4 linked regions of the Arabidopsis thaliana genome follow. The protein of the gene in region 3 interacts with the protein of the main gene of each other region in a biochemical or structural test. Each region holds a gene or a part of one and is shown on either strand. Other genes may lie near its edges.

What was found.
Region 1: the proteins of AT2G16250 (region 3) and AT1G56140 form a complex in vitro, tested with the Arabidopsis thaliana proteins (one large-scale study listed by BioGRID).
Region 2: the proteins of AT2G16250 (region 3) and SRF7 form a complex in vitro, tested with the Arabidopsis thaliana proteins (one large-scale study listed by BioGRID).
Region 4: the proteins of AT2G16250 (region 3) and AT1G56120 form a complex in vitro, tested with the Arabidopsis thaliana proteins (one large-scale study listed by BioGRID).

What each region holds. Positions count from the first base shown.
Region 1 is NC_003070.9:21,001,425-21,009,739, forward strand, and holds the start of AT1G56140 (Leucine-rich repeat transmembrane protein kinase), read right to left. Parts: upstream 6,432-8,315; 5' UTR 6,302-6,431; coding exon 6,181-6,301; intron 5,938-6,180; coding exon 5,751-5,937; intron 5,602-5,750; coding exon 5,530-5,601; intron 5,444-5,529; coding exon 5,372-5,443; intron 5,252-5,371; coding exon 5,180-5,251; intron 5,079-5,179; coding exon 5,007-5,078; intron 4,849-5,006; coding exon 4,777-4,848; intron 4,645-4,776; coding exon 4,573-4,644; intron 4,455-4,572; coding exon 4,383-4,454; intron 4,296-4,382; coding exon 4,224-4,295; intron 4,142-4,223; coding exon 4,070-4,141; intron 3,859-4,069; coding exon 3,787-3,858; intron 3,702-3,786; coding exon 3,636-3,701; intron 3,404-3,635; coding exon 3,338-3,403; intron 3,154-3,337; coding exon 3,109-3,153; intron 2,986-3,108; coding exon 2,924-2,985; intron 2,841-2,923; coding exon 2,458-2,840; intron 2,349-2,457; coding exon 2,150-2,348; intron 2,069-2,149; coding exon 1,910-2,068; intron 1,799-1,909; and 10 more. Other genes in the region: AT1G56145 (Leucine-rich repeat transmembrane protein kinase), read right to left, coding at 6,801-7,136, 7,209-7,359, 7,440-7,963, 8,068-8,186, 8,285-8,315.
Region 2 is NC_003074.8:4,782,158-4,789,398, forward strand, and holds SRF7 (STRUBBELIG-receptor family 7), read right to left. Parts: upstream 5,087-7,241; 5' UTR 4,843-5,086; coding exon 4,749-4,842; intron 4,652-4,748; exon of another isoform or gene 4,258-4,651; coding exon 4,125-4,257; intron 4,041-4,124; coding exon 3,969-4,040; intron 3,874-3,968; coding exon 3,808-3,873; intron 3,724-3,807; coding exon 3,652-3,723; intron 3,574-3,651; coding exon 3,505-3,573; intron 3,430-3,504; coding exon 3,358-3,429; intron 3,247-3,357; coding exon 3,181-3,246; intron 3,093-3,180; coding exon 3,030-3,092; intron 2,949-3,029; coding exon 2,620-2,948; intron 2,529-2,619; coding exon 2,239-2,528; intron 2,152-2,238; coding exon 1,880-2,151; intron 1,794-1,879; coding exon 1,661-1,793; intron 1,561-1,660; coding exon 1,427-1,560; intron 1,325-1,426; coding exon 1,168-1,324; intron 1,090-1,167; coding exon 958-1,089; 3' UTR 953-957; coding exon of another isoform or gene 689-952; 3' UTR 600-688; downstream 1-599. Other genes in the region: AT3G14330 (Tetratricopeptide repeat (TPR)-like superfamily protein), read right to left, coding at 183-294; AT3G14340 (uncharacterized protein), read left to right, coding at 689-952.
Region 3 is NC_003071.7:7,039,131-7,045,726, reverse strand, and holds AT2G16250 (Leucine-rich repeat protein kinase family protein), read left to right. Parts: upstream 1-2,372; 5' UTR 2,373-2,793; coding exon 2,794-4,760; intron 4,761-5,051; coding exon 5,052-5,177; coding exon of another isoform or gene 5,178-5,181; exon of another isoform or gene 5,182-5,305; coding exon 5,306-5,328; exon of another isoform or gene 5,329-5,413; coding exon 5,414-6,045; downstream 6,046-6,596.
Region 4 is NC_003070.9:20,986,802-20,995,337, forward strand, and holds AT1G56120 (Leucine-rich repeat transmembrane protein kinase), read right to left. Parts: upstream 6,272-8,536; coding exon 6,223-6,271; exon of another isoform or gene 5,965-6,222; coding exon 5,778-5,964; intron 5,692-5,777; coding exon 5,620-5,691; intron 5,516-5,619; coding exon 5,444-5,515; intron 5,352-5,443; coding exon 5,280-5,351; intron 5,178-5,279; coding exon 5,106-5,177; intron 4,955-5,105; coding exon 4,883-4,954; intron 4,798-4,882; coding exon 4,726-4,797; intron 4,634-4,725; coding exon 4,562-4,633; intron 4,477-4,561; coding exon 4,405-4,476; intron 4,298-4,404; coding exon 4,226-4,297; intron 4,025-4,225; coding exon 3,953-4,024; intron 3,853-3,952; coding exon 3,787-3,852; intron 3,553-3,786; coding exon 3,487-3,552; intron 3,303-3,486; coding exon 3,258-3,302; intron 3,161-3,257; coding exon 2,593-3,160; intron 2,507-2,592; coding exon 2,308-2,506; intron 2,220-2,307; coding exon 2,061-2,219; intron 1,937-2,060; coding exon 1,818-1,936; intron 1,704-1,817; coding exon 1,493-1,703; and 8 more. Other genes in the region: NOP56 (NOP56-like pre RNA processing ribonucleoprotein), read right to left, coding at 1-92; AT1G56130 (Leucine-rich repeat transmembrane protein kinase), read right to left, coding at 8,130-8,504.

The sequences.
Region 1 (8,315 bases), on a different chromosome or scaffold from region 3:
TCGAGCTCGTTGAACCACTCATGAAAAGTGTTCTTAATAACTTCCTTCATTTGGAAACCAACACAGTTACACTGTAAAAGAGACGGCATTGATTTGGTTGAGGACGTGAATAGTACGTGGCCCATCACGACCGCTTGTGGAAGTCAGAGGAGCTAAAATATTATTATTATTTAACCAAAGTGAAATCTAGAGTTTTTCCAATCCAAGAAGAATAAAGTGAACCTCATATACACAAACATAATCTCTATATGACTATATCTATAGCCACCATATAGGGTCTTTGTCATCTTCCCTCATTCATCTGGGCTCCAAGCATTGGCCTAGCGTCGTTGTTTCTCGGTGATATCTCGGATCTAGGCGCCACAAAGCTCGTGAAGGATTCAGAAGCCTGTGTGTTTCTTAATGGAAAGCCGCTGATTGAGGAGGCTGTGGTGTCATCAAATCTCCAGTCGGTTAGGTAGCCTGGCTTTGAAGTGACATCACTGACCTCAACATCTCCTGAAAGCATGGCCACCACTCGTGACATTGGTGGTCTCAAGGCATGAGATGTTTGTGTACACAGCAGGGCTATGCCAATCATGCGTTTCCCTTCTTCCATGTTGAATTCAGTCAGCTGATGATCAATAAGTTCAACTTCACGGCCTTTCTCGTGTAGATTCCATGCCTGTGAACAAGTTACACAATCAATATCAGCTTTTGCTAAAGGGCATAACCCAGATTAGCCTCTCATGGTCACATACATTGAAGTTGTGTTCATTATCAAAAAGTGTTGAAGTATGGACGTACCCATTCAAGAAGATATCTTTTTTCATCCTCCAAGTTCTCATCAGAGTTTGGCCTTCCACTCACTAGCTCAAGAGCCACAACACCAAAGGCATATACATCCGTTTTCTCTGTTAGATGTCCACGCATGGCATACTCTGGCGCAAGATACCCACTGCATTGATACAGTAAAATCACCAACATGTGTTATAAATCCATAGTTGTGTTGCAAACCAGAGGTCAGGGTTGGGAGTTACTTACATTGTCCCTGCAACCCGGGTACTTATGTGGGTTTTCTTGTCATCGTACAGTTTTGCAAGCCCAAAATCAGAAACTTTTGGTACTAATTTAGAGTCAAGCAAAATGTTGCTGGCCTTCACATCCCTGTGTACTATGCGAAGCCTTGCCTCCTCATGGAGATAGACTAGACCTCTGGCTACTCCCAGGCATATCTCATAACGGGTTGACCAATCAAGATGCAAAGTCTTTTCCCCTGCAACATTCAAACCAATGACATGTACATAATGAGTGATTTTAGCCTGGCAGAAGCATGGATCGATAAACATGCTTCTGTGCGTACCAAATAGAGCCTGATCAAGACTTCCGTTAGGAAGGTATTCATATACAAGCAAACGATGCTCTCCTTCATAGCAGCACCCATAAAGTTTTACTAAGTTGCGATGTTGGACTGCAGAAATTGCTACAATTTCTGCAACAAATTGTCCCTTCCCTTGTCGGGATCCCACCGACAATAGCTTCACTGCTACCTCTCTTCCATCATTGAGTTTTCCCTGTTGAATGCATTATTCAATAAATGATATTGTCAAAACAAAAGGTAATATCAAAACAAAAGATAGTACACATATACTCTTCTTTCCTAATATCTCAAATATGTACAAATTTCAGTAGGGACTTACCTTATAAACAGGGCCAAATCCTCCCTCTCCAAGCTTGTTTGAGGGATCAAAATCTTGAGTTGCACTTTTAAGTTCCGAGTAAGTGAAGGTGTAAGGCTTAACGTCCATACTAAGTATCTCTGCCAGAAACAATTCGGTTCTTAAAATCGACCAATATGAGAGATGATATATAACTAATTTTTAATCAGAGGGCCAAAATTCTACAGTTCAAGAGCTTTTTACATCTATACCTTCATCATCTGTGTACCGCTTTCTTCTTTTTCGGATGATAAAGATAACCACACCAGAAATGATGCTCAAAAGTCCAACGCCAACAATGACACCCACAATAGTACCAGTCATGCTCTTTCCCTTTGATGGTGGCCTATTACCCACAGTTGGTGTGAAATCTGAACAGAAATATGTAACACTTAAGCACTAACTAGCATCAGGAGATGGTGTAAAACAAGAAGAATTCACCATTTATTTACCTGGTGTTGCACCGACGGCCGATATTAATGGCCCATAAGCCCCTTGGATAGGAATACAGCATGTTCCTTTTCCAGCCCAGAAAAGATGAATTTCGAGATGATTTTGTGATACATTTGCTTTATATTCTCTCTGAACTGCTCGAACAGTGGAGTCACCAGCTGTTCTGCGTACATCGAAGTCCTTTTCAACAAGTCTTCCCTGGAAAAAGTGAGCTAGTCTTAGAATTCATCAGAATCAAAAGTCGGAAGCAGATAATTACACCAAAATTTAATTTGTAAAGCAGAAAGCTCGGTCAAGTAGTGCAGACCTGGACATAAATGTCAAAACGTCGTCTTCCTAAACCTCTCCAAGTGTTGGAAGTAGAACCTAGAATTTGTATTTCAGCAAACTGAAGTGTGACGGTATAGCCTCCATTTTCTAGACCCAACCCATAATACCTTAGGGAAGATGCAGAAAGTCTTGCTGACTGAAATAGCTCTGAGTCCAAAGTGTTGACAAATTGTGATTGTGAAGTAGATATGTATATATTGTTGCTACTTCCGGCAAAAAGTCCTACACTACTGGCTGCCCATCTCTGACCAGCACTCACGACAAATGAAGCTGGTCCAAGATCCTCGTCCTCCCTCTCAAATACTGCTTCAGTTACAGATCTTATCTCTGGGCCTCCGCAGTTGATTGAGAAGTCAGAATCTAGACACCAGTGTAAAGAGAAAAAATTTAGCGGATTTTTTTCCAACATTTGCTCAAGAAGCGGATATTGCTGTTACACTTACATATTCCTTTCCCTCGATTGCATGGGAAGTTCTTCTGCAGGCAGTTCAGTCCTGATAAAACCCTTTTTACAGAAAGAAATTAAACATATGATTAAACTATTTGCAAGCAACAAATAAAAAAGAGAAAAGAGAAACAAAGGGAAAGCAATTTCAAGCCCTAACAAGAACATTAATTAAAAAGTCACCTGTTGTCAAGACCTTCCAATGTGAAGTTGTTAGCAACTAAGTTGCTGCACAAAGAACATACAGTTTAGTTTAATATTATTCTCTCTAACATGATTATAATAAATAATTTCATACAAAAAGGAAGCTTCATGCTGGATATGAAGAAGTCTAATGAATATACATGTGGGGAAATTTCTGAATGTAAAACACTGTTAATATAAGTCGTGATATAGTGTTTTGTTTACTTACAGATTCAAGTTTGGTAAACTGACCCATGACGGAAGACTTCCAGACAAATCATTGTATGACACATCTCTGTAAGCATAGAAGAACACTAATTAGGATCGCCAGAATATGTTACCAAAATAGTTTCCTAATTATCTTGGCATGTCATTTGTGTCACCAAGAGTGGAATTCTTATTCGACTTGAATAAATGCAGAGTAAAAAGTGTACGAAACTTGAGTATATATCAGTTAACAACCGTCCAAGAAACTAGGGGACATGGCTTTTAAAGATGGAAAAATTATAAAGGATTTTGTTACTTACACATTGCTCAGAGACTGCCCCTTTTGAGTGGGCAATGAGCCATTCAACGTGTTGTTCCCCAGAAACCTAATATGAAGACAACAGTTATTTTTTCACAATAATCCGGGTCGCTGTACATAAAGATCCAAAAGTAGAAAACATATCATCTTACAAGTGAGTAAGCTGTCTTAAGTTGAAAAGTGAAGCCGGAATTGTTCCATGTAGTTTGTTGAAGCTCAAATCACTGGAAAACAGACATGAATTACATGGTAAAACGTCAAACCATTCCTGTTAAGCAATAAATGAGGAAAAATAAGAAATTATATAATCAGAAATATAGGATCAATTCGTAATTTCTCGTGACTTTCACAAATCATCTCACTCTTTTTACAAACAAAAAACCCCTGAAAAAGCTGCTAGAGCATTTGAAGAAACAAATTGACATATATACGTACAGTTGTCGCAAACTTGAATATTCTCCAATATTAGACGGTATTGTCCCAGTGAGATTATTGTTCCTCAATACTCTGCCACATATATTACAAATGTTAAATACAGGGAGGAGAGAACCAGATCAATTCCTAGAAGTTCAAGTTGAAACTGCCTTACAATATACTTAGAGATTTCATGTCTTTGATGAATTCAAGAGAAGAATTTCCATTGGATATATCACCAAGCCTCCTACATATAGTATATGAATATGTGGAGAAAAGGAAAGGAAGAGCAACAGTAAAACGATAATGATTATGACAACAATGCAACACATACAGCTCTGTCAAAGAAGTTAAGTTTGAAAACGACGCCGGTATCGGACCACTCAAACCAGTTCCAAGAATTCTCCTGCAGTAAAACACGTACCAGCCGTTAAATCCCAAATTTAAATGTAAAAAAGACTGGTTAAAAAAAAAGATCAATGGAACCAGCCTATTATATAACCGTAAAAATGAAAACTTCTTACAAGGTAGTAAGTTTGGTCCAATCTCCTATAAAGTCTGGTATCTGACCTGTAAGTTCCATATCCGCAATCCAACTGGTACCACATTAAGGAAACAATCACATCACGGCAAAAAAGACTAAATTGTAAAGTAATAAATAGATTACAAAAATAAGATGCAACTAAAGTTAAACAATAAAGCTTATATTCGACTTCAATATGTCTTACGCTTGTTCCAGCTCCACAAGATTAGCAAATGATACAGGTAATCCCCCGCTGAGTCCCGAACTATCTATGTATCTGCAATAGATGGAAGAAATTTCCCATCAGTCATCAACTGCGCTAGAATTTTGAGGTCGGTGATCGCTAAATGATTTCAAAGGTTAATATTTAATCATATCTAAATTATAACCAAGGATATAAAGACATAAACACTTATAGATTGACAGAAAACTCACATCTGTTGTAGTTTTGTACATCTCCCAATCTCATCTGGTATAGAACCCGAAAAGTTATTTGAACTAATACTACTGCAGAAATATATATAGTGTATAAGGAACCGTCAGAATCCTCCAGAAGCAATGTGAAGACACTATCATATTTAAACAATGAAGAAGCAGCCTAAGCTTACAGTAATCTTAAATCTGTAAGCAAACCGATTTCTTTAGGAATAGGGCCAGACAACGCATTGATCCCAAAAGTCCTACGTGATAAACAATTGAGAGTGAGAAACAAGAAATGTTCCTATAAGGGTGCATTATCAATGAAAGGTGTAGACATTCACCACAAACAATAAGAAAAAAAGAAGGTGTCAGAGACATACATCCATCGCATTCGAGTCAAATTTCCAAGTGCAGGAGGAAGTGAGCCAGTGAGAACATTTTGACCCAAGTTCCTGAAAGAAGTGATTTTAAATTGTGAAAATGTGTGCTCCTTTTGTAGCTGAAATTGTATAATCATCAAGTGATAGTAAAACCATACAGATTTGTCAGGTATTCCAAGGTCCAGAGTTGTTGAGGTATAGATCCTACAACTTCCATCGCATAAACCTTGCTGTGAAAACATCAACAACATCCAAAAATGAGGAGAAGAATTTGAGACATGAAATTGAAAACCATTCGTTTCCCCCACAAAAGTCAATTCCCAGTGGGAGAATACGTCGAACAAATGGGGTGCAGAAAAAAGGGGGAAAGAGGCCCTACATGTTGGTAATGCGGCAGATTGTGGAGTTTTCGAAACTGCAGTCGCATTTGATGAGAGGATTGTAGGCAGGGTTTGAGTCGAGAACACTGGCGTCGATAGCGGCGCCGGAGCAAAGTTCGCCGCTGATGTTCCATTCCCTCGGCGCCCGAATCCTCCAAGCCGCGAAAATTGAGTTCAAAGCTAGCGCTGTTTTTATTTACAACAGTCAATTATTATTAGCTCTTAACAAAATACGATTAACTAAACAAAAAATGTCAATTGAAACTAAACCGGTAAACTTCTTAGGATAAAATAAAAAAATATTATAAATGTAAACATCGGTTTTATCAATTAGGATCAGAAGAGTAGCTTAAGACCTAGCTACACAGTCTTCAATCCGATCGATTGAATTTGAACTTGTCAAGTTGTTCAAAGAAGAAGAAGACAGACCTTCGTCGGGATGTGTGGTGGCTCCTGTTCGATTTTGAGCTCGAACCACGTAAACCGGACCGAAATTACACAAGAACCAGACAGTGAGGAGTAGACACAGATACCGCCATAGCCTGAGCATCGTCGGAAACTAAAATTAAACGGAGAAGAAGATGATAGCCGCCAAAACTAGACGGAGAAGGTTTTAATTTGGTTCAAAAATGGTGTTTATGTTGGACTTTGAAGAGATACTTTTCATTTGGCTTAATTTGAATTTAATTAATGGTCTAACCAACTACGCGGAGCAGTGCGTCTCACGCGATGCATCCACAAGCCGTGAAGTGGACGCGCTTAAACCGAGATTCCGCTGCGTTGTCAACGGGAGATTTCAACAATGGCGGCTGCTGCCTACGAGTGCAAGAAGCATCACCACCTTTGGACTTTGATACTAAATGCCAATGATGGTTTTAAGGGATTTTAATGTTAAAAATGGGACCAAACACAACTTTCAGGAGAAACAGTCAAATCCAATTTTGGTCAAACGAATATGTATATGTGTTATTTACCAACAACGATTTCTATATTGACTTCTTTTTTTTTATGTAAGAACAAAAAATAGAAAAACCACAAGTTTTCAAGTTTCAATGTCGTCGTCCATGTTCTTCAACTTGGGACTTGGAAGAATCTTTTGGAGTTTCAGGCAATATCCAGCTCGAGCTCGTTGAACCACTCATGAAGCTCATTGCATTCTCAAATGTTCTCTCAGAGACGTACCCTGGCTTGGCATTGGCTTCCGTTATCTCCACATCACCGGTCAACATACCTACCACTCGGGACATAGTTGGTCGTATTGCATGATCTGTTTGTGTGCACAAGAACGCTACTCCTATTACACGTTTCACTTCTTCCTTGTCAAATTCTGTCAGATCCGGATCTACTACTTCCATATCACGCTGCTCTTGGTGTAGGCTCCATGCCTGCAAAGACCAAATTATTCACCAAATTTGGAATTAAAAAGGATGTGTTTGTAGGAAAAGTTAGATATATACCCATTCGAGAAGGTATTGTTTGTCATCATCTAATTCTGGAGAGGAGTTAGGCCTTCCGCTGACAATTTCCAAGGCCACTATACCAAAGGCAAACACATCCGTCTTCTCCGTAAGATGTCCAAGCATCACGTACTCTGGTGACAGATATCCGCTGCAATATAACATTTAACAACGGTAAGTTTTAGCCCATTTGACAAACCACATCCAATGTGAGGTTTTCAGGATATTTACATCGTCCCTGCAACTCGGGTACTTATGTGGGTCTTCTTATCATCATATAGTTTGGCCAACCCAAAATCTGAGAGTTTCGGGACCAGATCCGAGTCCAGAAGAATATTGCTTGCCTTCACATCCCTATGCACTATACGGGGATTTGACTCCTCATGCATATATGCTAAACCTTTTGCTACTCCCAAGCATATCTCGAAACGCTGTGACCAACCAAGCTGCAAACTCTTTTCCTCTGCCACAGTCACGCAACATGTAAGGTAACAGCATTTGTTTTTTTTACAAGGATAACACATGTAAGATCTCATGCACTTACCGAATAGAGCTTGATCTAGACTCTTGTTTGAGAGGTATTCATATACAAGCATGCGCTGATTTCCCTCAATGCAGCATCCATACAATTTTACAAGGTTGCGATGCTGAACAGCTGATATAGTGGCAATCTCCGCAACAAATTGACCCTTTCCTTGCCTGGATGCAACTGACAATTGCTTCACGGCTATCTCTCTTCCGTCGTTCAGTTTTCCCTGTACCAATGAATATTTTTAGAATATAGATAATGTAAAATTTTACATAACTTTCTAGTACACTAGACTCCCAATATTGGTACACATTCTGTGTACGGTCTTACCTTAAAAACAGGTCCAAATCCTCCCTCCCCAAGCTTGTTGGAAGGATCAAAATCTTGAGTTGCAGTTCTGAGTTCTGAGTAACTAAAGGTGTAGGGCCTTATGTGCAGACTGTTTAGCACTGCATTTGAGAAATATTTGATAAATACCACTTAGAAGGTTACAGTTGTTAACGATTAGACTTTAATAAAACTGCCACAGCTAAGACTTTTCATTTACCTTCTTCATCAGCCGCCCTTTTTCTTTTCCT
Region 2 (7,241 bases), on a different chromosome or scaffold from region 3:
CCTCTTTTCTTTTCTGTTCTTTGTCTTCGCTGCCTTTACTAATCCTCTCCCTGATCTCTTCCTCCTACGCATTAGAATAATTTAATTTCATGATTACTATGACAAACAAACAAAAATGAGATTATGAAACCTCAACTAATTGGTTACATTGTCAAGTGCTTTAGCGTTGGGAAGTTTCGAACCATGAACACCAGCTCGGTTCGAGGCTTTTCCAACCATCGTCCTCACGCCGTCGTAACGACCATCAAACTTTCCGACGGTTCCCACAGATCTCCACAACTTCCCGATCATCATTCTAATTATTTCTACCCTCATTCAAGAAATCGTGTATATTATATGGTTTTGATTCAAACGTGAGGTGTGCATAGTATAGTCGATTTATCTACCACGTGTCATAAAAAGTGTCCACGTGACAAATCCACGTGTCACTAGCGTGTTTCCGGTCGGGTTTCTAATATTACGTGGATTTACGCTCTTACGGTTCCGTCGTCGCCTTGATTGCCGGTGAAAGTCCAAAGATTGTTGAAATTTAGAACGACCGTTGCTGTTTAAGCTTTAGCAATTCAGCAGCAGATTTACACAAATTGTAATCGATCATATTCCACTTTATTAACATAAAATTTATTCAAACAAGGAAAAAATTACAAATGGAATAATACCGTTTTTGGATCGGAACTCACAAAAGGGAATGGTTTTGTTCATGTTGTCGGAATCTAAAAAAAAAGCTACAAATTGGGAACAAATTACAAAGAAACATGGGAGTGTACAATGCGTGAAGGGTTGTTGTTGTTATTCTCTCATCATCAGTTTTATGAAACCGAAAGAAAAAAAGGATTTTGTTTTGTTTTGTCTGTCCTCGGTTGTCACTTGTTGTCGTCCCATCCAGATTCCGAGCAGACAAGAGAAAAAGGGCAAATTTTTATGTTTTTTTTTGTTGGTTCTCATCAGGTAAAGAATTTACATGTAATCATTGACGCCGGAGCTACCGGAGCCGACTCCAACAGTTCTCTTGCTCATGTTAGCTCTCTGCACCAATACAACCAATGCTTGCACCACTTCAGACATGGGTGGTCTAAACTCTGGCTCCGGCTGTAACAGATTAAAAGAACAATATACATTCAGATTTCATTTGTTCAGATCATCACATTATAATATATAGATGATTACCTGGACGCAAAGGGCGATAACATCTGCAAATCGGGAGAGGGATTTAACCGGGTATAGCCCTTTGAGAGCTGGATCAACCATTTTGCCCAAAGCATCAATGTCGTGAAGCTGAGGTGTTGCCCATCTTACCAATGATTGTTCCGATCTTGACCTTGTGCTGTCACACACAACAATCACCAGGACTTACTTCAATTCTGAACACATTTGCATCACTCTTAAGTTTTTTTAGGAAGGCGAGGGATATGGATTGTAAAAGTACCTGTCGAATGGTTTTCTTCCGGTTAAAAGCTCGAGCATCACTACTCCAAAACTGTAAACATCGCTCTTCAAAGAGTATTGGCCTGACATTGAAGTTTCTGGTGCGCTGTATCCTTCATCGTTTTGGTTTAGTAGCTGCACAATGTCATGAATACTTAGGAACAAGTTCCATGGAGGAACAAAAGAGAGAGAGAGATACTAGAATTCTGAGAAGTTTAGTCTATACTATATATACCTCGTTTGCAGTGGGAAGGAAGCTAGCGAGACCTGAGTCTGAGAGGTGTGGATTCAGCTCTGAGTCAAGTAAAATATTTGCTGATTTAATGTTCTTGTGGACTATAGATGGTGAGCAAACTTCATGCAAGTACCTGCAACAACAACAATACTTTCCATGAGACTCTGCTGCATGCTATTATATTGAGCAATAATGTGATTGAGATGTTTAAAGACTTACTCCAATGCACGTGCAGTGCCAAGAGCGATCTTGACACGGGGATTCCATATCAACGGTTTGCTTTCCTCTTCTGCAAGATGTAAAAAGTCATGCAATGAGCCGTTTCTATGGAACTCATAGACCACCAAGTGTTGCCCGTGTTCAGAACAGTAACCATCAAGCTTTGTGACATTTTCGTGATCCAAATGCGCTATTTTCGATACAATTTCGGTAAAATCATCAGCAGTATCCGTGGGAAGCGCAGATGAGTCGATTTTCTTCACAGCAAGTACCTAGTAGATCAAAGAAAATATCTCAGTAGCAGAATATTATGACATTGTGCTCTTACAAGTAGAGGAGGATTATATAAAATTAAATACCTTTCCATCTTCAAACTGAGCTCTGTATACTCTTCCAAATGTTCCTTCACCGAGAAGATTATCTACGCTGAAACTGTTGGTAGCTACTTGAAGATCTGAAACCGTATATGTGTTCACATTTGAAGGAACAACAACAGCAGCTTTCTTTGCAACAATAGGTTTTCTCATTGTTGAATCATCGTCATCAAACGACTTATGTCGCTCAGATGGTGGAGGACGTAGATTCATCGACAATGACGTATCCAGTTTCTTTGTCTCAACCAATGGTGGATTCTGTACAGACTTATTCTCTGCAACCAGATGATTACATAGTTAGAAAACCATAAGATTATTTGATGTATAATACTTTTTGACAATAAAAAAAGTTTAATGAGTTATTACCTTGATGAAAGTCATTGGACGCTAGTATAATGGGTTGGTTAATGTTATTATCAGTCTTTTCAATGTCCGTGGATGATGACCGCTTTGATCTTTTTCTCTTGATCAAGAAGAAAGCTATGACTGCTGTTACAACTATCAAAGAAATGACTATTCCTGCTACTCCACCAGCTCCAAGCCCTGATTTGCTGGAGTCTTTGCTATTGCTGGAATCACCATTGGAACGGTTTCCACGGTTCCCGGATTTCGGAGTAGGTGATGATTTACTGATCGGTGGTGTACCAGGAGGTGGTGGAGGTGCAGGCCCGGAATTTAATAAATTGCCATCTTTTCTGTTTTCAAGATCATTCAGGAAAAAATTAGTGAGATTAGAGAAAAGATCGAAGAATCGAAGAAAGGAATGCAACACTTACTGCAAGTTAATGCCTTTCAAAGAATCAGGGATCCAGCCTGTGAACCGATTGTTTGCAATATTCCTGAGGAGGAAGCATTCAGCAAGAACAACATTCAAGTGGTGTCTACAGGAGATAAATTCCTAAAAATGGATAAGCTTAAGTTACCCACAGATTTTCGAGAGGAAGGGTGGCTAGAATATCAATGGTGCCTGAGAACTGATTGTTCTGAAGATAACTGTGAAGTTGAAAAAGCACAATGTTAGTAACTAAGTATTAACTTTAACTGGTTCACTTACAGGGAGTTTTTATTTATCAATACATAGAGACCTACTTATAGGAGTCTTACATTGATTTTGCACTCGTAAGAGAGCTACAAGTGTTTGGGAGAGACCCTATAAAAGCATTGGAAGAGAGGTCCCTGAAAACACACAAAATCTTGTCAAAACATTTGTTTATTAACTTATTCCTTTGACTCAGGAAAAAAGGATCTTACAATATAGAGAGAGAGGTGAGTTTTGTGAAGTCAATAGCTAGCTGCTTCAACTGGTTGTGAGCAAGGTTGCTGGACAAAAACAATGGAGCATTAAATAACCATTCTTTCTCCAAGATATGTTTGAGAATAAACAACTGAAGAACTTACAGGTACTTAAGAGGAGCCATCATAGAAATGGAATATTGAGCAGATCCAGTGAACTGGTTATTAGCAAGATTCCTAGACAAATACAGAAATTGATCAACTTGCAAAACAAACATAGAAATTTGTAGAACATATAACAGAGAGAATCATCAAACATACAATCGCTCCAAGTTTGGAGGAAGCTGATAAGGCAAATCGCCTCCAAGGTTATTGTTGCTCATATCACTGCAGGTTTCACCAAAAACAATCCATGAGTATAAGCCACACCACTAAATACACAAAAGTAGAAACTTTGGAGAATCATGGAAGATAAATCTTACAACTCAGTAACAGAAGTCAATTTATCAAGCATGAATCCAAGTGATCCAGAAAGTCCAAGACTTGGTAACTTTCTGCAAGTAGATACATGTATTAAGCATGGATACAAGAAAAGAAGAAAACAAAGTGATATTGAATTATGATTAAAAAGTGATTACATTTGTGTAACTCGAGAGCCAGAGCAAGTTATGCCTTTCCAGTTTTGGCCACAAGGATCACCTCCTGATGCTGTCCATTGTGAGAGCTGTCCTGGAGAATTCATGGAGCTGAACATGATGTTTAACGCCGAAGCTGCACATATTAAGAACCAGAGACCATAAGTGAACTATTCCAAACCATCATAATCATCTTGATTTTTTGTCGGTTACATGAAGCAGATCCAAGATTTGAGATCATTTGGGTTTTATGAACTAGGTGTTAATGAAATGCTTGAGAATTAACAACAACAAAGAAAAAACCCAGAAAAGAGAACAAACACACAAGAAAGGAACAAAAAGAAAAACAAAACATAAAGTGTGTGAAAAAGGAGAAAGGTTTGAGATTTGGGGTTAAAAAGAAAACTCATTTGGTCGAAACAAAACCTGTTTTGAAGAAAAGAACATTATGACAGAAAGGGTTATTATTTTAGCTTGGGATGATTATGAAGAAATCAAAAGTTGTAGATGAAAACATAAACCCAGAATCATCAATAAGACTACACAAAATGATGGATTAAACACCTGAAAAGATCGAGACTTTTTAAAAGATTCTTCAAAGAGGAAAAAATGAAAAGTGAAACTCACTATCTGATGAATCCGTAGCTCCATGGATGAAACTTGGCTCAAACCCAACAATGCAGAGTATAAGCAGAGCCAAAACCACCCGATTCTCAGTCATCTTCTTCCTCCTTAACCTTGTCTCACTTTCTCTATCTCTCTCGAAAACCAGATGAGACAGAAGAAAACCCAAATGGCAAAAACCCAAACTTTTCTTCAGAGATTTTTATTATTAATTTAATAAACTTTGAGGATAAATTTTGATAAGCTAGATTTTATACAGTTTCAGCCATAAGACGAATTTATCGAGTAAAAAGCTGGCAAGCACGATTTGCTATAAGTAAGAATCCAAGAGCCATACAAATAGGCTTCGGCGCTTTGCTTTGCTTTGCTTTGGATTATTTTATTTATTTCTTCCATATACTTTTTTATCTACATTTGTTTATTAATTAGTACTAATAATTACCATTTAATATTAGTTAATGACATAATGCTACACTTAAAATGCTAATTTTTCTTTTTAATTTTGTCCATAAAACAATTAATCTTGGTTGGTGTATCATGGTTATGGTCTGACGCATTGTCTTTTTTTGGTTTTTATGCATTTCTCTTATTCCCACAAATTAAAAGAAAACAAAAAATACAAATAAATACAAATTTAATAATAACTAGCTGTAGTTTTCATAAGGCCTACGCGCTTTTAAAGGTTTGTATATTCTTCTTTCTTTTCTGTATTTTAATTTCCTTTTTATGTACGAAATATTCATATACTGAATTAATTCATTTGTATAGTAAGAAAAACAGAAACGAAGCTTTCATACAGTATAGATTACTTTGAAGATTGGTTTAGGATTGGGTCTTTCCATCATTGCTTTGAAGAATTAATTACTTTCCCTTCACATCTAAGTGGAATGAAAAAAGGAAATAGAGTGAAAAAGGTTAAATTGTTTTTTACTATATTAAAAGTTAGTTTGTTTGTGCAGAAAAAGGTAGTTTGTTTTGCTTATAAAGAAGAGACATGTGGGTGAAATAAGAGTAAAACACTCATTAATGTCGCAATTATGAGTATATAAGATAATTAATTAACAAAAACCTTATTAAAGAAACTCACGAGATTCTTGTAGCAAATATGTATGACCTTTTCTAATTTCTATTAGAGAGGGACGGATATATAAATTTAAGTAATTTGATAGTTTGTAATGTATGAGAAAAGATAACTTAGCAACGACCAAGAAAAAATATTTACGATATTAGTTAAGTGATGCATCTTAATCTTCAGCATTTCGTTAACTTCCAAATTATTGTCAAACAAAAAGTTACATCATCGATAATCAATCATTTAGTTTAGATTGTCCCAGTTTTATGTGAGCGATTAGTTTGGTTAAAACGTGTTAATCGGTCATTGTACGTGGTTTGCCTCTCATCTCCTTAGTAATGTCTTCGTTGAAAATTTCTTCGTGTATGTTCGCTTTCTTATCAATTTAATTAATTAACTTGTTCTTGATATTTGACCCGCGAAAAAATACGTGTTTGGATATTAGTTTTCTAAGGCACCGACGAGACAAAATAAAATAAAATGATGTGGGGTTTTTATTTTGCATTTAAGAATAATAGTAGAAACTAATTTTTTTCTTTAACAAAAAAACAAAACTAATGTTTTGATGAATGATGAGTATTTAATAACACTATTGCCCACATCTATGATCTATCCATATTTTCCTACAATTCGTTTTATCATATTAATGGTGTATTTGGATCCCTGGTATTATTAAATTTAGAAAATACTAGTTTTTAATTATATAGGTAAATGAAATAATTTGAAATTTTGTTTAAACTGAATTATGTTAGAATTTAGGTAGATGAATAGATCAATCGAGGCTTGAAGCCAAGCGTGTGCCAGCAAGAAGGGGTGACACTGATAGTATAAATATATAAAACGAAAGATATGATGTATCTCTCCGGCATATATAATTGTTTTCAGAGATTTATTAATTAAAATTGACAACTAAATTTGTTTATAACAGATATTAAGAACAAAGTAGAAAAGAAAAAAAAAACGAAATACAAACAAGTTAGCTTAGCTTCAATGAAGGACGTGTTTCTACAACTATTAGTCTGATGACAAAAATAATCTCGTCAGCCTAATTTTTGTTATATTTTTTCTTTTTTGTTTTGTGTCATTGTTAGTCATTTTGAGTTCATGTATAAGCTTTAAGATGTATAGGGTTATCATGGAGTAGGTATTAGGTACATTCTAATGACAATAGCCAAAGAATATTGATCAGTTTTAAAAATGAAGAATTCTTAGAAGAGAAAGAAATAGAGAGAGTATCGAATTAACACACAAATATTTATTCGAGAAAAAAAAAGGCTATGAAGCTCTCGACGACGTCGTTGAATCCCTGAATAGACTACGCCTAACGTGATGCCGTTTATTTTGTTGCCGACAAACGACGCGTCGTTTGATTTCAATTGCCTACAAAAGCTAGGCGACCTAATTACGTTATTTGGTAGGGCCAG
Region 3 (6,596 bases):
CATTTCAATCATTGCATCACTATGCAATCTTTTTAGTTTCCTAAGAATTAGAATTAGCTTTATGACTCCTTAAAATCTTCTGATTTGTACCAAACTAGTTGTGATTCAATCCAAAGTTTGTTTCTTTGTGTCAGTCTCAGTCGTTTAAAGTAAAAGAAGAAACAAAAGCATGAGACTTTTTTTTTTTTTTTGGTAACAAAGCATGAGACTAAACATCACAAGACTCAATTTCTCCAGCTTCCTCCTTCAGATCGCCCCTGACCACCGTAACCTCCGTCTCCATAACCACCTTCACGACGATCACCTCCATAACCACCACCGTATCCACCTCCACCGCCACGGTTGTAACCACCTTGATCACGTCTACCTCTGTAACCACCACTTCCGTAACCACCAACCATACCACCGCGAGTACCACTACCACGAGCCTGAGCCTAGTTAACAGTAATGTTACGACCATCAAGTTCTTGACCATTCATTCTATCGATCGCAGTCCTCATGGAATCCTCATCTTTAAAAGTCACAAATCTAAACCCCTTAGACCTCCCGGTCTCACGATCAATGATGATCTGATCCAATCCATAAACCATATAAAGTCGAGATTTTTATGATACAAAGAGAGAAACAGAGCAACACAAAAACAGAGTCACACTTTAACGGACCTTGGAGTCGAAAACTTCACCAAACTCGTTGAAACACCTCTCTATAGACTGTTCATCGGTGGCCCAAGCTAAACCTCCGACGAAGCATCGATACTCGTTGTCTGCATAAGCCACGTCCAAAGATTTGAGGAAGATGATGACGACGACGGTTCTATATAGAAGCGCGAAACCATGGTTACGTTGATTCGGTGCTTAACATGCATTCAGAAATATGATTAGAACTGTGACCAAAACACTCTCTTGGACGCATGATTTGTGCCACGTCACCAGAATCGAAATAATCTTGCTCTGATCCGATGGTTTAGATTTGACGGCTTATTTTGTATGTGTGGGGTCTCACGAAGAGGACATGTGTTAGTTATATGATCTTGAACTGGAAAACACAGATACAAACAACATTTGTACTTTCGGACACGTTGGATTTATTTAATAGCGATGCGGGATATGTAACAAAAATTAGGTAGTGATGTAAATTTGTTATCCGACGAAAGATGAATAGTTCATTGCTTTTTCTTCCCGAACAAATATCCTCAATTATGACTTAACTAGCTCGAGGTTAGAGAAAACTTTTCTATGGAAATAACAGTAATTGGAACGATTAATAAAATCATATACGCAACTGTAGCATATGAAAATTAATAAACAGTTTAAGAAAATTTCACATCACTTGTTCATATATTTTGAGAAAACTTTTGAGAAATTTTTAGCTCAAGAAAAATTCATCTCTATTAATGTCTACTTAATCACTATTTTCTAAATAAACCATAGTGAGACTTTGAACTAACATAATCATTCATTTTTCAAGTAAAATTAAATAAAAAAACTAAATATTTTCATTCGATTGGCATTGTTTAAATTGAACATTCTACAATAGAGAATTTGTTTCTATCAATTTTAAACTAAACATATATCAAATTTTTGGATCATATCAAAAAAGCTAGAAAATTCAATATCATTGTTTTTTAAAAAGAATACTTCAACATCTTTACAAAATCCTATAACCGATAAATATTTCATCCAATATTTTGAAAGAAAGTTGCCAACATTTCACATGTTTTTCTAGTTGATAATTTTCTATTGTACTGTATATGATTATATGTTGTAATAAATTGTTTAAAATGCAAATGATTACAGCGGTTGAGACGGACAAATACTATGCAGATTAAACCGCTTTTAATTTACCAATCATAAATTAGAATCTATAATAATATATACTAAGAAAACTGCCGTAAACCAATCATAAACCATTTTTACATACAAATAAGATTGATCCACAACGATTTATTATCTACTTGAAAATAAAACACACTTATATTATCGATGAATTTATCTATTCTGATTGCCGTTACCATTCGAACCAAAAAATTCAGAGTATTTAGAAAATTTTAGCAAGAAAAGAAAAAGATTCCTTTATTCGGCCAAGAATGGTGAATATAGGACGTGAGATATATTACTCCTTATATATCCGAACATTAAATTTACAACAATAATAAAACAGGAAAGAAGGAAAGAAAAAATCCCAAATAGTAATTGCGGCAACAGCTTAGCTGGCTTATGGCGGGATTACCGGGAAAGTCAAACCAAACATTAAAACGACGTCACTTTACCCCACACTAGGTTTTAATTTAATCTAATTTCAAAATTATTAATTAATCAGATTTGTAATTAATAATAAATTAATTTCGAAGTTTCTTGCAAAGACGAGAGAGAGAGGAGTGTCACAGTCTACAGTTGTTATCTCAACAATCTCGATCTTCTTCTTCTTCTTCTTTCTTTCTCTCTCTAAAGATTTTTTTCACTCAACAAATCACTTTTTGTTTTGTCTGATTTTAAGGATTAGTGAAAAATTTCTACTTTTTCTTCTCATAAATTAGGATTTAGAGAGAGAGAGAGAAAGAGAAAGAGAGGTGCTTTAATGTCTGTGAAGGTAGGAGCTGTAATTGGATCCAGTAACAGAGCAAACCCAGTTCGATATCTGTCTCTTTCTTCCTCTCTAAAGATCGAAAGACGTTATTTTTATTAGGGTTGTTGAATTGGGTATTTTGCTTAAATCCTGAAAAAAATAGTCTCTGTCTCTCTCTGGGTTTGGGTGATGAGTGTTGATGGGTCATTGGATTGAGTTTGATAAGCAATGGTTGATCAAAGAAGAAGCGCATTGGGTTTTGTCTTGTTGTTGTTGTGTTTGGTACTGTTCTTCGACTGTGTTGTTGTTGGTCAAACACAGAGTCGATTCAGTGAGAAACTCATTTTGCTTAATCTCAGGTCTTCTTTAGGGTTAAGAGGAACAGATTGGCCAATTAAAGGTGACCCTTGTGTTGATTGGAGAGGTATACAATGTGAGAATGGTAGTATCATTGGGATCAATATCTCTGGGTTTAGGAGAACAAGAATTGGTAAGCTAAACCCACAATTCTCTGTTGATCCTCTTCGTAATCTAACTCGTTTGTCGTATTTTAACGCGTCCGGGTTAGCGTTACCGGGGACTATACCTGAGTGGTTTGGTGTTAGTTTGTTGGCATTGGAAGTATTGGATCTTAGTTCGTGTTCTGTTAACGGTGTTGTTCCTTTTACTCTTGGTAATCTCACTAGTTTAAGAACTTTGAATCTGTCTCAGAACAGTCTTACTAGTTTAGTTCCTAGCAGTTTAGGACAGTTGTTGAATCTATCACAGCTTGATCTCTCTAGGAACTCATTCACTGGTGTTCTTCCTCAATCTTTTAGCTCTCTGAAGAATCTGTTGACTCTTGATGTTTCTTCCAATTACCTTACTGGACCTATCCCTCCTGGTTTAGGAGCGTTATCAAAGCTTATCCATCTGAACTTTTCAAGCAATAGTTTCTCGTCTCCGATTCCTTCAGAGCTTGGTGATCTTGTCAATCTGGTTGACTTTGATCTCAGCATCAATTCATTGTCTGGTTCAGTTCCTCAGGAGCTAAGAAAGTTAAGTAAGTTGCAGCTAATGGCGATTGGCGATAACCTTTTGAGTGGTACTTTACCAGTAGATTTGTTTAGTGCTGAGAGCCAACTGCAAACTTTAGTTTTGAGGGAAAATGGTTTCTCTGGTAGTCTACCTGATGTGTGCTGGTCGTTGCCAAAATTGCGGATTCTTGACATTGCTAAGAACAACTTCACAGGACTGCTGCCATATTCTAGTTATGATTCAGACCAGATAGCTGAAATGGTTGATATCTCTTCGAACACATTCTATGGAGAGCTCACACCGATTCTTAGACGGTTCAGGATAATGGACCTCTCTGGTAATTATTTCGAAGGTAAGCTTCCTGATTATGTGACCGGGGAAAATGTGTCTGTTACAAGCAATTGCCTTCGAAATGAGAGGAGACAGAAGCCGTCAGCAATATGTGCAGCATTCTATAAGTCTAGAGGATTAGATTTTGATGATTTCGGACGTCCTAATTTGACACAACCGACATCGAAAAATGCTTCTTCAGGGATAAGCCGCAGAACAGTAATTATATTGGCAGCAGTGGGTGGTGGAGTTGCTTTTATTCTTCTTTTTGTTATCTTGCCAATTATTCTGGTTCTATGCATGCGCCATAGACGCAGAGCGGCACAAAGAGGAAATAACGACAGGCCAAAACCTGCCGGGGAAGCTTCACAACAACCACCTAAAGGAGCACAAACCTTTGATTTGTCACGTCTTGGAAATGCATTTTCTTATGAGCAGCTTCTTCAGGCAACAGAGGAATTCAATGATGCTAATCTGATAAAACGTGGTCATTCGGGGAATCTGTTTCGTGGTTTCTTGGAAAATGGTATACCCGTTGTTATAAAAAAGATCGATGTGCGGGAAGGTAAAAGTGAAGGCTATATATCAGAACTGGAGTTGTTTAGTAAGGCTGGACACCAGAGGCTGGTTCCCTTTTTGGGACACTGCTTGGAGAATGAGAGCCAAAAGTTCTTGGTATACAAGTTTATGAGACACGGTGATTTGGCTAGCTCTTTGTTCAGGAAATCCGAAAACGAAGGTGATGGATTGAAGTCTTTGGATTGGATAACAAGGTTGAAAATTGCTCTTGGTGCAGCTGAGGGACTCTCTTATTTGCATCATGAGTGTTCACCGCCTCTAGTTCATAGGTACTACTCTCCTGCTCAGCTTCTCGTAATATAATCTTGATATTTTTTAAAGCATTGACATAGCAAGACTATTGGAAGTTGTTTTGTTGATTCTGTTTTTAGTATCATATAACCTTTCATGTTCATAATTAGTAAGATCTATTCAAGAATTGTTAGTGTATAGTTTCATAGATGGAGAAGCCCAATGACATCACCTGCTCCTAAATTACTTCTTGTTGATCTATGCTCTATTGCCTGATAAGAAGAAAAGCGAGAGAACTCATGTGTGTGTTTGTGTTCAATGTTAAATAGGGATGTACAAGCAAGTAGCATACTTCTTGATGATAAATTTGAGGTACGTCTTGGAAGCCTAAGCGAGGCATATGCTCAAGGTGATGCTTATCAAAGCAGAATTTCTCGTTTACTTCGATTACCGCAGTAAGTGCTTATTACATTAACAAACTCTCTGGTCCTTTTCTGTTTTACTTTGATTCCCTAACATGACTCTGTATGTTGTCTTGGCACCTACTAATGCTTCGCTGTCTCTTCTTTTCCTATTCTTGCAGATCGAGTGAACCATCTTCTTCAGGTATACACTTAGGAGAATAAAAATTTCATCAGGATATACCATCTCCGATTAACCGATAGACATCTGATTGGTTTATTCTTTTCAGGTGTAACAAATGCAATATGTTCGTATGATGTCTACTGCTTTGGCAAAGTGTTACTTGAGCTAGTAACGGGGAAGCTCGGGATTAGCTCGCCAGACAACGCACTTGCAAAAGAGTACATGGAAGAAGCTTTGCCATACATCAGCACAAACGAGAAAGAACTAGTAACCAAGATCTTAGACCCGTCATTAATGGTGGACGAAGACCTTCTAGAAGAAGTATGGGCAATGGCTATCATTGCAAAGTCATGCCTAAACCCAAAACCAACAAGAAGACCATTAATGAGACACATTGTGAACGCACTTGAGAACCCACTGAAAGTAGTAAGAGAAGATACCAACTCGGGTTCAGGCTCTTCCCGGTTAAGAACAAACTCGTCGAGAGGGTCTTGGAACGCTGCTATATTTGGGAGCTGGAGGCAGAGTGCGTCGGATGTAACAGCTGTTCAAGCGGGAGCAACAACAAGCGGTGGTGGTGGTGGTGGTGGTGGTAATGGTTTGAGAAACTCGGGGTCGCAAGGAAGTAGCGGAAGGAACAATAACAACAACGGGAATTCATCGTCGTCGAGAAGACGGCAATCTAGTGAGATTGTACCGGAACCTGCTGCTTATGGAGTAGTAGAGGATAATTTATGATTCGTTTCATCGATTCTTTTGTGTCGATAATAACAGAGGCAAAGAGAGTCCTCAAAGGTAGCATAATGTTAGATGGGAGGAGGATTTGTTTTTTCTTTCTTTTGTTTTGTTTTTGGGTTTAGGATTGGTGGGAGTTAGAAATGTTAGTTCACTCTTTGTTTTTGTTTTTTGGTTCAAACGTGGATTTTGTAAATTGTAAAATTCTTGGAGATTGGGTTTTGTTTTCGGTTTCTTTCTTATTGAAAGACCAGAAAACAAAACAAAACAAAAAAGTTGGGTTACATTTGTTTCAGTTCCACCATTACTTATTATTCTTGTATCTGATTTCGTACGTGTGAATTTTGTTGACTATTTCATTTGCACGTGGCAAGCTTTTGATATGTATTTGGACAAAAAGTGAAAGGAAAGATACTTCTTCCTTTTGTTGGATCTGATTTCGTACGTGTGAATATTGTTGACTAGTTCATTCGCACGTGGGAAGCTTTTGATTCATATTGGGACAAAAAGTAAAAATAAAGGTTCTACCGAGAATTGAACTCGGGTTACTGGAT
Region 4 (8,536 bases), on a different chromosome or scaffold from region 3:
ACCGCCTCAGTGTTCTGTCCGATCTCATCTAGTCCGTGAACCTCGAAGAGACCATAGCCGGAAGAAGACTCGTAGATAACATACATCGCCATTTTTTGAGGAGAAGAAACTAAAACCCTAAAGACCTACTGAGCGAGAAGAAATATACAACGAACGAAACTAGGGTTTCAGGGGTTTAATAAGCGCATCTGTTGATGGCGCTGCTCTTGAAAAATTCAATGGGCCAGGCCCATTTAACGGTGTGTTAGTTGTACTAGCTTATAAAATGCCCGGCCCATCACAACAGGTTAACTTTCTTTTTTTTTTTTTTTTTTTTTTTTTTTGGTCATCCTTGCAAGATATCAAAAGTTTGTTACAAAAATTGAAAAATTGTCAACTAAAATATTATTATTGAATGAAAGTGAAATCTGTTTCTCCACATCCTTATATAGAAGAAAATTGTCAACTTCCATATACAAGCATATCAAATTATAGAGGGGACAATCTTCATCTTCCCTCCTTGATCTTGAATCCAACCATTGGCTTCGATTCGCCGTCTCTAAGTGGCATCTCCGGGCCAGGCGCTATAAAGCTCGTCGAGAAGCTAGTGTCTTTCGTTTGAAAGTTGCTGAATGAGGAGCTTGTGGTGTCATCAAATGTACAGTCGGTTAGGTAGCCTGGCTTAGAGGTGGCATCATTGACCTCAGCATCTCCTGACAACATGGCTACTACTCGTGACATTGGTGGTCTCAACGCATAAGATGACTGAGTGCAAAGCAGAGCAATGCCAATCATGCGTTTCACTTCTTCCATGTTGTATTCACTTAGCTCATCATCTATTAGTTCAACGTCACGGTTTTTCTCGTGTAGATTCCATGCCTGTATACAAGAAATACAAAAGGATTATCGGCTTTTGTCATTTATCACACCATCTTCAACTTCGCCTATATGACAAATATAGACGTACCCATTCAAGAAGATATTTTTTTCCCTCTTCCAGGTTCTCATCAGAGTTTTTCCTTCCACTCACTAGCTCAAGAGCCACAACACCAAAGGCATACACATCTGTTTTCTCTGTTAGATGTCCACGCATGGCATACTCTGGCGCAAGATACCCACTGCATTGATACAACTAACATGAGCTATAAAGCCATAATTGTGTTGCAAACAAAATGTCAGGGTCTATGGATTTTGCTTACATCGTCCCTGCCACTCTGGTACTAATATGGGTTTTCTTGTCATCATATAGTTTTGCAAGCCCAAAATCAGAAACTTTTGGGACCAGTTCAGAGTCCAGTAAAATGTTGCTGGCCTTCACATCTCTGTGTATTATGCGAACACTTGCTTCCTCGTGGAGATAAACTAGACCTCTGGCTACTCCCAGACATATCTCATAACGGGTTGACCAATCAAGATGCAAACTCTTATCCCCTGTAACATCCAACCCAATGGCATAATGATTACTTTAGCTTGGCAGAAGCAGAGATAGGTAAGTCATGTTTCTGTTCATTACCAAATAATGCCTGATCGAGACTTCCATTAGGGAGATACTCATATACGAGCAAACGATGATCTCCTTCAAAGCAGCACCCGTAAAGTTTTACTAGGTTGCGATGTAGAACTGAAGAAATTGCAATAATTTCTGCAACAAATTGTCCCTTCCCTTGCCGTGATCCAATTGACAACTGCTTCACCGCCACCTCTCTTCCATCATTGAGGTTTCCCTGTTGAACGTGTTATTCAAAACAAAACGTATTAAAAGGTATTACATGTACCCTTCTTTCCTAGTATCTCAGAAAAATATACAGCTATTTTGTTCGATTCAGTAAGGGACTTACCTTATAAACAGCCCCAAACCCTCCCTCTCCAAGCTTGTTTGAGAGATCAAAATCTTGTGTTGCATTCTTAAGTTCCGAGTAAGTAAAGGTGTAAGGCTTTACGTCCATACTAAGTATCTCTGCCATAAAAAATTCACTACTTAAAATCAACCAATTTAACAGATGATAGTCAACTTTAATTTTGATCAGAGAGCTAAAGTTATTCAGCTCAAGGGCTTGTTTATGTTCTTATTACATCTGTACCTTCATCATCTGTGTACGGTTTTCTTCTTTTTCGAATGACGAGGATAACCACACCCGCAAAGATGCTCAAAAGTCCAACACCAACAATGACACCCACAATAGTACCAGTCCTGCTCTTTCCCTTTGATGGTGGCCTATTAGCCACAGTTGGTGTGAAATCTGAACAAGAATATGTGACACGGCACTAACTAGTATCGGGAGATAGTGAAAATCAGAGGAAAAAAAATATATCAACCGTTTGTGTTACCTGGTGTCGCACTGACGGCCGCTATTAATGGCCCATAAGCCCCTTGGATAGGAATACAACATGTTCCTTTTCCAGCCCAGAAAAGATGGACTTCGAGATGATTTTCTGATACATTTGTTTTATATTCTCTCTGAACTGCTCGAACCGAAGAGCCACCAGCTGTTCTGCGTATATCAAAATCCTTTTCAACAAGTCTTCCCTGGAAAAATGGAGCTAGATCTTAGAATTCATCAGAACCAAAAAGTAACATTTGTGAACCGGAAAGCTCGATCAAGTGGTGCAGACCTGGACATAAATGTTAAAACGTCGTCTTCCAATACCTTTCCAAGAGTTAGAACCTTCAATTTGTACTTCAGCAAACTGAAGTGTTACGGTGTACCCTCCATTTTCTAGCCCCAACCCATAATACCTTAGGGAAGATGCAGAAAGTCGTGCTGACTGAAAAAGCTCTGAGTCCATAGTGTTGATAAATTGTGCTAGTGAAGTAGCTATGTATATATTGTTGCTACTGCCAGCAAAATTTCCTACACTACTGGCTGCCCATCTCTTTGCAGCACTCACAACAAACGAAGCTGGTCCAAGATCCGCGTCCTCCTTTTCAAATAGTGCTCCACTAACAGACCTTATCTCTGGGCCTCCGCAGTTGATCGAAAAGTTATAATCTAGACACCAGTCAATAGCGAAAGTCTTAAAACAATTTTTTTCCAATAAGACATTGGAGCCCTGTCCATATGTTTGCACATTCAACATGGAGAACATAATTTGTGAGGGTATCTTTTTGTTACACTTACAGATTCCTTCGCCTCGATTGCAGGGGAAGTTCTTCTGCAGGCAATGTAGTCCTGATAAAACCCTTTTAACAACAAAAAAAGATTTAAGAAAGAAATGATAAATCGTTTATGCTTGCATCCTTTTGTAGGAAAAGAATAGAAATATATACAAAAACTCACCTGTTGTCAAGACCTTCCAGTGTGAAGTTGTTAGCAACTAGATTGCTGCACATATAACAAACGCTTCTGTTTATTATTCCCTAACAAGTGATTATAATAAACTTTTACGACAAAGAGGAAGTCTCATGCTGCATATGAAGAGGCCTAATGAATATGCATGTGGGAAAAATTCTGAAATTTTAAAAAGGCTCTGAAGATAAGTTGAGATATAATGTTTTTCTTTACTTACAGCTTCAAATCTGGTAAGCTGACCCATGAAGGAAGACTTCCAGACAAATCATTGTACGACACATCTCTGTCAGCATAAAAGAAAAATACAGTTAGGATCTACCGACTATATTATATGTCCAAAACAGTTTCTTAATATCTTGGCAAGTTATCTGTGTCACCAGGAGTGGAACCTTATTCAACTTGAATAAGTGCCCCGTAAATAGTGTACGAGCCATATTAGGAGGATCTGTCAACAAACCGTCCAAGAAACGTTGTGGCTTTTAAAGATGGAAAAATTATAAAGGATTTCGTTACTCACAAATTGCTCAGAGACTGCCCCTTTAGAGTGGGCAAGGATCCATTCAACGTGTTGTTTCCCAGAAACCTAATATGAAAAGACAAACGATTTTTTTTTATAAAATGATCCGTGTAGTTATATAGTAAGACCCAAAAGAAGCAGAAAACATATCATCTTAGTATCTTACAAGTGAGTAAGTCGACTTAAGTTGAAAAGTGAAGCCGGAATTGGTCCATGTAATTTGTTGAAGCTCAAATCACTGGAAGACAAACATGAATTAAACGGTAAAACATGAAACAATTTCTGTTTTCTAATGAATGAGGAAGTATACGAAATTATATTATCAGCAGTTTAAGATCATTTCGTGTTCTTTCTGTGACTTTCACAAATCATCTCACTCTTTTTGACCCTGAAACAGCTTTCAGAGCATGTGAAGAAAAACACTGACATATGTACTTACACTTGTTGCAAACTTGTGTATCCTCCAATAGTAGACGGTATTGTCCCAGTGAGATTGTTGTTCCTCAATACTCTGCAACAAATATCATAATTGCTAAATACAGGAGGAGATAGAAACAGCTCAACAGTACATTAATCTGATCATAAATTGGAGGAGGAGTTGAATCAAAGCTGCCTTACAATACACTTAGAGATTTCATGTCTTTGATGAAATCAAGAGAAGAGCTTCCATTGGATATATCACCAAGCCTCCTACATATAGAATATGAATATGTGGACAAAAGGAAAGATAGAGAAACAGTAAACAATAATGATTCTGACACAATTTAACACATACAGTTCTGTCAAAGCAATTAAGTTGGAAAATGACGACGGTATTGGGCCGCTCAAACCAGTTCCGAGGATCCTCCTGCAGTAAATTGTACCAGTCGTATATTCCCAATTTAGATACAATGAAGAATTATTCCACTATATTACTCCGTATAAATGAAATCTCCTTACAAGGTAGTAAGTTTGGTCCAGAATCCTATAAAGTCTGGTATCCGACCTGTAAGTTCCACATCCATAATCCAACTGGTACAACATTAAGGAAACAATCACCCCAACGCAAAAAACTAAAATGTAAAGTAGTAAGTAGATTATAAAAATTATATCTTACGCGACTTCCAACTCCACAAAATTAGCAAATGATAAAGGTATTCCTCCGCTGAGTCCAGAACTATCGATGTACCTGTAATAGATGTAAGAAATTTTTAAGAATAACAGATGCACAAGACTTTTGTGGTCGACGAACACTAAAGAGTTTCAGACGTTAAGGTTTCATATCTAAATTATAACTAGTCAATAACATAAGCACTTATGGATTTGACAGATAGACTCACATTTGCTGTAGTTTTGTACAACTCCCAATCTCAGCTGGTAAGGAACCGGAAAAGTTATTTGAACTAATACCACTGCAGAAAATATATATAGCTATAAAGAACCATCAAATCCTCTCCATAAGCAGAGTGAAGACATGTTCAAATATAGATAATGAGGAAGCAGCCAAAGCTTACAGTAATCTTAAATCCGTAAGCAAACCGATTTCCTTAGGAATAGGGCCAGACAACGCGTTGATTCCAAAAGTCCTACATTTGAGCATGGGAGACAAACAATTGTTAATTGAACTTGTATAAAATTATCAAAAAAGAAAAAGAAACAAGGTTTCAGAGGCTTTTACATCCACTGCATCCGAGTCAAATTCCCAATAGCAGGAGACAGTGAGCCTGTGAGATAATTTTGACCTAGGTTCCTGAAAGATGTGTGTTTTTGATGACCATTGGATCAGTTAAGAGTCTCAACATATATATACTTGTGAATATAAAAAGTGGGTAAGTGGGTTGTATGGAACTATACAGATTGGTGAGGTATGTTAAGGTCCAGAGCTCTGGAGGTATAGGTCCTACAACATCTATCGCATAAACCTTTCTGAGACAACAACAAACAAAATTGAGACTCAGTGGGAGAATTCGTCGAACATATGGAGTGCATAAAAAGTGGGAAAGAGGTGTAACATGTTATTTATGCGGCAGATTGTGGAGTTTTGGAAACTACAGTCGCATTTGATGAGAGGATTGTAGGCATGGTTTGAGTCGAGTACACTGGCGTCGATGGCGACGCCGGAGCAAAGTTCGCCGCTGATGTTCCATTCCCTCGGCGCCCGAATCTTCCAAGCCGCGAAGATGGAGTTCAAAGCTCGCGCTGTTTTTATCCAACATAATTCACAACGGTCAAATTATTATTAGCACCCCTTAATCTATTACGCTTAACTAAACAACTAGTATTAATTAATTGAAACTATATATTAACTGAACTAAGAAACTCATTCTATTGACAAGATGCATTTTATTTGTTTTTTCGTTAGTGGGGTTTATTACAAAGAAGAAGCTAGCTATTACAAACTACAAATCCAGTCGATAATTGGTGACTAAACTTTTGTCAAGTGTTGAAAAGACAGACCATCGTCGGGATGAGTAGTGGGTCTGGTTCGGTTTTGGGCTCGAACCATCACGTGAACCAAACCGGAACAACACAAGAACCAAACGGTTAGGAGCAGAAACAGAGATCTACGTAGCCTGAGCATTTCAACAGATATAACTTTGGTTCAGAAAAACAAGACCACTATGAGTGTGTTTATAAAGAGATTTGCCGATCAGCGAATGGGCTCTCTGTTTTCTCTGTATAGAGACGTTAATGGCTATCAGGCTATGATTGCTATGGTTCGTAGAGTTGGAAAATTCTTCCTTCTTCACCACTACACTACTTCACATAATAATATAAAAACAATGTTGTCTTCTTCTTTTTTTAGTCTCCACACTCTATAGCAGAGAGAAGACTTAATTACTAGTACTATGAGAGAAGACTTACTATGAAATCTTCCCACTTGTTGACACACAGCCAAGAGAATTAGTGTAACTGATCAACAATGTAAGATTGACTATAAACGAAACTTCGAGTTTCAAGTCGTCGTCCATTTTCAACCACTTGAGATTTTTTTCTTCTTTTTTGATAAAAAGGGGACTTGAGACTTAAGGATTATTTGGTAAGTCTCCTTTAGATATGCCAATATCCATTTAGTGCTCGTGGAACCCACTCATGAAAGTGATCTTAATCATTATTTCCTTTTGAATTCCAAGACATAACACATGATTACATATCAAGGAAGGAAGAAGTTGCTACGGAAGAGTCAATCACCTTTAGAGACTGCACCGGTTGATTTGGTTAAAGACTTAAAACGACATGAATAGTGCGAGCCCCATCACGACCGGTTAGAGATCCACTCCAAGTCCAACTTAGAGCTACTAAAATATTTTTATTGAATCAAAGAAGTATTTTATTTTTATTTTAAGTAAACGCATAGTTAAGAGTTTCGATATACAAGCAATGTTCGATTAGTTAAACGTACCGTAATGAGAGTCGTCCATGCATGCATGGCTAAACGTTGAGGTCTTTTCTTGATTCCCTTTTTGTTGTATCTCAACATCATTTGGAGATTTCTTGAGCTCTGATCCGGCTTGGGATCCTCAGTGGAACCGCTTGGAAACTGGAATAAGCTTAAGAATGCAGAAGCAGTCACTGATGCTATCATTTCAACAGTGAATAGTTAATTACGTTTCTCCCACGGTAGGTTTTGAGGACAAACGTGACATGATAAATCGTGTATTAAACTAGTGTGTAATAACCTAATATCTTCCATTAGCAGATCGATGGAGGGCCGCACAAGAGAAACTGATGCTGGAGCAATGCTATGATCTTTTGAGTTAGAGGTACATATATAGATCATTTGAAGACCTGAACTGATATGTTTCTGTTTCTGATCATAATTTGGAGAGGAGCTTCAAGTGTTTCGTCCTGATTCAACACTAATAGACTTTCAATACAAAACTTCATTTACACTAGGACTGTAAAGTATCCAATATGCTTAGCTCTGGTTTTCTCCCCCACTTATTTACACGATCTTTGCTCATGTGACGTCTACATCTTCATGACATAAGCATACATATTTGAATTGCAGCTTTGAAAATCCAGTTAGAGCTCCTGGAACCCCCACTCATGAAAGTAGTACAGAGATTATTTCATTTTTGACTCCCAAATAAAACATTACAACACATGAATATACTACAGAGTCAGTCACCTTCAGAGACTGCATTGATTTGGCTAAGTACATGAATAATGCGAGGCCCATCACTAACGGTTAAAGATCAATTTCAACTTCTAACTACTAAATTATTATTATCGAATCAAAGTGAAATCTGTTTTTCCCAATCAAAGATGAAAATTGTCAATCCCTTTTTTTTTTTGTACAAAATTGTCATCTTACATATATACAAACATCTCTATAGCCATAAATCGTAGATGATACATTGTCATCTTCCCTCATTGATCTTGGATCCAAGCATTGGCTTAAAGTCGCTGTCTCTGGGTGATATCTCGGAGCCAGGCGCCACAAGGCTCATGGAATAGCCTGTTGTGTCTTTGATTTGAAATCCGCTGAGAGATGAGCCTGTGGTGTCATCAAATCTCCAGTCGCTTACGTAGCCTGGCTTAGAAGTGACATCACCGATCTCAACATCTCCTGAAAGCATGGCCACCACTCGTGACATTGGTGGCCTCAAGGCATGAGATGTCTGTGTGCACAACAGAGCAATGCCAATCATGCGCTTTGCTTCTTCCATGTTGAAATCAGTCAGCTTATCATCGATTAGTTCAATGTCACGGCTTTTCTCGTGTAAATTCCATGCCTGTATACAGAAAATACACAAGTATTATTGGC